Caenorhabditis elegans: one gene and its partner. The protein of the gene in region 2 interacts with the protein of the main gene of each other region in a pairwise test. Each region holds a gene or a part of one and is shown on either strand. Other genes may lie near its edges. The genes, in order: atf-4 and cebp-2.

The links.
Region 1: the proteins of cebp-2 (region 2) and atf-4 interact in binary tests that used the Caenorhabditis elegans proteins (3 or more experiments, as listed by UniProt).

The regions. Positions count from the first base shown.
Region 1 is NC_003284.9:14,808,540-14,812,551, reverse strand, and holds atf-4 (Transcription factor atf-4 homolog), read left to right. Parts: upstream 1-1,888; 5' UTR 1,889-1,946; coding exon of another isoform or gene 1,947-1,970; 5' UTR 1,971-2,010; coding exon 2,011-2,283; intron 2,284-2,807; coding exon 2,808-3,083; intron 3,084-3,127; coding exon 3,128-3,205; 3' UTR 3,206-3,396; downstream 3,397-4,012. Other genes in the region: T04C10.3 (Coiled-coil domain-containing protein 96), read right to left, coding at 42-191; T04C10.11 (uncharacterized protein), read left to right, coding at 1,748-1,888, 1,947-1,970. UniProt on the Caenorhabditis elegans protein: Transcription factor.
Region 2 is NC_003279.8:6,251,222-6,254,230, forward strand, and holds cebp-2 (CCAAT/enhancer-binding protein homolog 2), read left to right. Parts: upstream 1-1,860; 5' UTR 1,861-1,862; coding exon 1,863-1,960; intron 1,961-2,005; coding exon 2,006-2,093; intron 2,094-2,140; coding exon 2,141-2,257; 3' UTR 2,258-2,363; downstream 2,364-3,009. Other genes in the region: cof-2 (Olfactomedin-like domain-containing protein), read left to right, coding at 39-131, 174-297, 342-439, 698-795, 852-1,011, 1,054-1,158, 1,207-1,308, 1,373-1,579; lpd-2 (LiPid Depleted), read left to right, coding at 2,480-2,605, 2,653-2,790, 2,836-3,009. UniProt on the Caenorhabditis elegans protein: Transcription factor that binds to the promoter and the enhancer regions of target genes. Regulates expression of genes involved in fat metabolism, including ech-1.1 and fat-5.

The DNA of each region.
Region 1 (4,012 bases), on a different chromosome or scaffold from region 2:
AAGAATTTTCAAAAAGACACTTTAAAATCTTTGCAACTAACGTCTGGTACTTTCACCTTTGAAAAACAGTCTTCATATGAGTTTTCAATCATTATAAATATTAAGAAAAAGCAGCAATGAAAAGTTTCTGGCAGTTTAAGTGAGGCATGAAAAGTTGTTGAGATTTTGAGCATGCTGTTCAAGCACGGCATGATTTATAACGGAAGTTCAGTCGGGTGGAATGAAATTCTCAAGTTGAAATTTCTAACAAAAACGAGTTTGATCCAAATACGCAAAATTTTGTTGAATTTTGGAGTTTATTTAAGGTGATTGAAGAAGAAGACGCAGAGCCATACTGAAGACGTGGAGAAATCTGCAAACACTGCTCTTGACGACTCTTTGCATCTCAATGAACCTAATTCAAAAATTCAAAAAATCTCGGACAACTTTGACTGCACATTAAGGTGAATAACGTTTCGGACTAGAATTTTTAGTTGAAACATATTTCAGAAAAAGATCAAGCCTCGTGGAGAGCACCTATCGTTAACTGACGAAAGTTTTACCGTGAAGATGGAGGTGACACGTTATCTCTCCACTGCAGTAGAAACTATCAGTCCGAGAGATTTTTGGGTAAATTCTGTGACCAAATCATCATATCCACGCCTCTCCAAATTTGCTCGACGCTTTATCATCTGTCCAACTGGCTCAAGTGAAGCTGAGAAACTGTGTTCAACAGCCGACACGAGTCTTACTAAATACCGAAAAGCTTTGTCACCTGAGAATTTAAAATGCTCCTATTTTTGAGCAAAAATATTCGTCTAATGAATACTATTGATGAGCCAGAAGGCTACTTGGTTGACTGAAATTATTGATTTATTTTCTTTAATTTCTAACATGTTGTTTTGTTTAAACAGTTTTTTCTGATGTTTTTGTTGTCGGTTTTCAATAAACTGTTCATTTTTCAATAAAAATTAGTTGAAACAGAAAAATAACACAAATTTGAAGAAAAATATCCGAAATATCCAAATTGTCCGAAAAATATCCGATTCAAAAAAATTATTTTATTCGAAACAGCGAACTAAAGGATTAAAGGATTAAAAGACGATCCGTTCTTCAAGTGCTATGCTCTGCGGAACTGGGATTCAGGTAAACTGACTGGTGGTGATCTCACTGGGCTATAATTTAAGCCACATCCTAGCCTGGGACTGTGGCCGATAATCCTGTAGTGGATTGCTCCACTCTCCAATAGAGGCTGGTTAAACCTAGGGGGTCTTGAACTTCAACTCGTGATCTCCAGATTGTTAGCGGCGACCACTACCGACTGAGCTATCTGTCGCTAAAAATCTAAAATAACCGATATCCGAAATAGCGAATATCGGGAAATTTAGATAAGAAAGTTTAGAGAAGCCCTACCTTAATTATACCTAACTGTAAGAAAACACTCTGGGAGCTTTTTGAATTACTTACACATTTTATTAAAAATTAATCTGAAACTTTTTTCAATCCAAAGATCAGCTTAACGTCTTTGATATTTGAATTTCCTCCACTAATCCACATCGATTGATGACGTACGAGACCGCGAGAGATGCAGATAGCACGCGACAGCCCTGATAAACTAAGAGAAATAGTATAAGAAACGGGTGCGATCAGAGAACATACAAAAAATATCGAGCAAACGCCGGAGGTGGAAAAGATTGGGGGCAGCCAAACTACACCAAGCGCTAGTCGTCTCCCTTTCCTCTTCTGTCATTTCACAATCAACACATCACTGGACACATACAGCCACTTTCTCGCAGAAACATCTCATCTGAAAATTATGAACTTCAACATGAACTATAGCACCGAACCGTCTCAATACCAATCTTACGTCATCGCGAACGCTCCTTCCGCCACAGCGCCAATTTGTACAGTAAGTTCATTTAACTTTTAATTGATTAATAATTAGTTTAAACAATGATCCTTTCCAGGAAATCACGTGCTGTGTTTGTTGAGCCTACGGGTCATGCATACGGACAAAATGATTACCAACAAATGGCTTATGTAAATGAACAAAATCCACAGTTCTTGCTTTATAATGGGATGCACAATCAAACCCATTCCACCCCACAATATCATAACCATCATCATCATCACCATCAATCTCCGACATATCCTCAATCATATTTCAACCCCTACTCCCATCAATCTTATCAACAGCATCATTTGAACTCCGATGTCAACTTCCAAATGGTTCCACAAAGCACTTCGGTTCCACCAGATCCGTTTTGCTCAATTGAGCCAATGGAGACTAATGTACAAGCAAAAGTGAGTTGATAGTTCAGAAATTGCGCTCAGGAAATTTCACAAAAACAATTGCACGAAAATTCTGACATGGAAACTGTCTGTCTACTTGATAACGGAGAACCAATCGGGTTGAGAGATCAAAAATGATCTGCGGGAAGACTATGTTAAGGAAATATAGTTAGGTTGAGAAGCAACGGTGGTTTCACGTGAAATTCATGTGATTCAAAGCTATAAGGAAGAGGAAATGTTGTGTATGCTTTTGGTGTCAACGAATGCAAATATTTTAGTAAATGAAACCGATACGTTGCTTCTGGTAAAGTAACATTGAATAATGAACATTTGACTTTGAAAGGGGTAAAATTCAAATAAAACAACCTCCTAGCTTTTTAACTTTAGGGGTTACAATTATCTGCTTTTGCAGAAGTTTTTGAGTTGCAATCCTCTGGAAGTCTTTTGAAATTTGACTGAAACTTTAAAAAAACAATTCGGTATATCCGGAATTTTACATCTAAACATATGAAAAACTCACAAAAATGTTATTTCAGGAACAAATTCTCGAAGAAATCGTGCGCGAGTGCGAAGAAATCGAGCGTCGTTCCAACTCGAGCGCGTCTCCAGCCTCAAATTGGTCTTCAGATGAACATGACTCTCAATCCGAAAAATCTTACCACCCATACAAAACCCCAGAAAAGAAGGAACGAAAGAAGGCTCAAAACCGTCTCGCAGCTACCAGATACCGTGAAAAGAAGCGTCGTGAAAAGGAAGAGGCTATGACTTGCATTGAAGGTCTTAGTGTCACCAATGGCAAGCTGAAGGATCAGGTTTGTAAATTATGAAGAATTTTGAGGATTAGCTTTTTTTCCAGGTATCCGAGTTGGAGCGTGAAATTCGTTACTTCAAAAAGTTCATGACCGAGATGGGAATGAAAACTGTCACCGACTAAACCTCAATTTTTAATGTTTTTTACTCCGTTTGAAAGTTCAACTCATTTTATTATTATTAATATTTTCTAAACTTCATCCTTCCCTTATATTGTACGAATTGTGGATTTTTTAAAATTTCATACGCCAATGGTATTATTCTGTTCGTTTGCATGATATTAACCTTACTCTTCAAATAAAAAAGTATCTGAAACCGATAGATCTATAACTTATCACCAACACTTATAGTTGGTTGTAGTCAAATTGTAGCTTCTTGTTTTGTCATCATTTTTCATTTATTTTGTCATCATGACTACTAGTGAACTTGAAGCGCACGTCATTATTCCAACACTGGCGACAAACTCATATTTTAGCTAAAAACAATTAGGAGTGAGTGGAAAAACAAAAGTATATCGGGGGGAATCGGACAAGTCAATTTGAAATTTGGTTAGTGAAACTTTTCGAGTGGATCAGACTCTTTTAGATAGGAAAGTGTTTAGAAAATTCAAAAATATTTATTTCATCCGAAAATGTACGCTTTTAAAAAATATTGGTTTCATCCAAAAATATACGTTTTTCAAAATTATTTATGCTCCGAAAATGTACCGCAACTAAATTGAAAAAAAAAAATTTTCCGCAGCGAAATTTTCCGCGACGATATTTTGCCACGACAAACTTTTTCCGCCTCAAAGTTTTCAGCATCGAAATTTTTCCGGAGCATCGAAATGGCGCGGAAACGGTAAGTCAAACTTCAATATATATAATAAAAATAAAAAATATATAATAAAACAACTGTGGAAAAATTTCGAGAAACGTCGAGAAGTTACGTC
Region 2 (3,009 bases):
GCTTCTCTGGGCTTCTCAAAGAAGGAAAGAATTTACAGATTGAAAATCTGGAATGCCCGAACAGAGAAGCCATTCCAACAACTCCCTGGCCTTCAGTCACACATCAACCAATGCCTGGATTGGTTCAGCAGGTGACTTCAGTAATAACTTTCAGATCCAAAGCATATTTTCAGATCCTTTCCAACTACAGTGAAGTCGAGGGATGCGTGAAAATATGTTTGAAAAACTACACTCTCGATGAAGAAATTGAAGAGACCATTACGACTCCAGTTGCATATATTCAAGGAGTTACTGCCCGTAAGTATTATATTCAGTCTTAAAAGGAGTTGAAGAATGTTAAGATTGCCGACTTCAAAACGTTGGAAAACCTGTGTTCCATTCTCATTCTACAACATATTATGGAAGCTGGATGAGAGATGCATACCCTCCAACCGGCGATGTAAGTTTGGGAGCTTGAAAATGGAACTGAAAAATTTGCTCACACTTTATTCAACTCTTTCTGTATGTATGTTCGTGGTTCATTTTTCGGAGGCGTTTTCCGGTCGAGACGTTCGGGCATGAAAATGCTAAAAAACCGGGAAAAAGTAAAAAAAAGTTTGGAAAGCTGTCACAAACCGAAACTCACTGGTTCGCCGAGTACTGGTATACTGTACATTATGAGAAAGGCATATCTCAACATATGTATATCTTGTTTCAGGACGCTAGAAAACGATACGTAATGAACCATTTCCAAGGCCACGAGCTCATCGAATTTAGGAATGAAGCTGAAATGCGACGGGACCATGTCGGAAAAGTGTATGGTTTTCTTTCAAAATTTTTCAAATATTTGAGAACTTTTTATTCTTTTTCAGCCATCGCCTTCCATATATATTCGATGGAACAAATCATGTTATTTTCAATGCATCTCTTTTCTATCAAAGAGCAGGATATCCAATTATTGCAAAATACGAGTTCAACTCGAAACAGTACTCACAGTTTGAAATACCGGGAGCAGCTTATCGTGGGGATCAGGTGAGTTTTGAAATTGTTTTAAGTCAAAGTTTCCAATTTCAGTACCTTTATAATAATTCGATGAATTATTTTGACTTGGCAATCGATGAAAATGCACTTTGGGTCATGTTTCACTATCAGGAAGAAGCTTTCTTATCAGTAGCTAAAGTAATTTTAAGTTGTTCATTGAAATCTATCTACTAGGTACTATTCCAGGTGGATATAAATAATTTGACAATTTATGAGGCATTCAACCTCACGACAGTAAATCATACAGATGTTGCAAATGGAATCGTCGTTTGTGGAACAATTTATTTGGTTTAGAATTTTTTATTTGATATCAAGCTTGACCAATAGCAAAATCAAATCAACATTATTCCAGGTGGAAAGTGCATCAGAACAATCCACGTATATCTCTACGGCATACGATTTCTACAGAAACACATACTCCCAACCTTTGATTAAATGGATTAATTTGTACAAGAACGCCAATATGATTAGCTATAATGCTTATGATAAGAGAATTTACATCTACGATCATGGTTATATGCTCTCTGTACCTCCACTTTTGCATTGGCTGGCTAAATAATTTGTGTAGTACATAGTTCATTTACTATATTTTAAAATAAATTCAGTTTTATTCGAGAAATATAAAGTAATTAATTTATCGTGAATATCGTGAAAGTAGCTCTTTCCTATATATTTTTTCAGGAGTTTTAGTTCCCCTTTCTCGAATTTCTGTGGTGTCTCACGCAACGACGCTCCGTTTTACACACTCGCGCGTACTTTATCGTAATTCCACAAAACCTTTTTTCCATCATTTTTCTATTAATTCCATAGTTTTCCTCGATTTTTTGTTGCAATTTCAAGCGATGAGTGGAAATCGGAAGCGAAACACATCAGAGCCTCGTGAGGACGATGAAGATGACTATTCCACTAAACGAAAACGGAATAACGAAGCTGTGAACAGGTAAAATTTCATTTTTAGCCGCTAAAATCTAATTAAAAATTCCAGAACCCGACAAAAAAAACGCCAGGAAGAAAATGACACTGCAGAAAAAGTAGACGAATTAAAAAAGGAGAACGAAACACTAGAAAGAAAGGTACTTGTTTACTTGATTTTTTAATTTTAATTAATTCCCTCTATCAGGTCGAGCAGCTACAGAAAGAGTTATCATTTCTTAAAGAAATGTTTATGGCATATGCGAAAAACGACGGAAATGATGGACCACCACCACCGCCACCACCATCTTCTTCCGCCGTGTAGATAACAATTTAATCAAAGATTTATCCACCATTTCTGTAAATTTTATACAAATAACTCAATTCACGCATTCCAATAACCAAAGAAAAATAAATTTAGAAAACGCTTTACTTTCTTTTTTAAACTGTTTTTTTTTGTGTGGTACGTTTCCAACAATTTATCTTGAATGATCTTATTAATTAACTTTTTGAATTTGTGTTGTATCAAAAAAAACGTTTCTTTCAGATGACCGAAACGGAGCAAGAAGCGTTTGCTGATTTAGTGGCAGAACTGGAAACTCAAACTGCAGAAGCAGTAAAAGCTTTCAGTAAAGTTTTCGATCGGATGGAGGAAACGAACGATGACAAAGAAGTGAAATGAAAACCTCAAGATTTATTCAAAAACTTTTTTATTTACAGGGGCTTAGTCTTCTGAAGCTGAAAAACTATGAAATGACAGCGTACCTTGGAGAGTTGACTGTCCTTATGTCGAAAATGATGAAAGGAGAGTCAATTACAGTAGAACCATCTGTTAAAAGAGCTTTAAAGCATAGAGTGGTATGTATTTTAGTATTCCAACTGTTCCTAAAAAACTAGTTTCAGTTCATTGAAAAAATGAAACCAGTCGAGGATAAGATGAAACCTCAAATTGAAAAGCTACTAGGCCGGTCAAGCGCCGAGAGTGGAGCATCAAATGGTTCTTCCAAGGGAAATCACAGAGTTCGATTAGACAATATGGACGTTGAAGGAGATGAAGAAGAAGAGGAGGAAGATGAA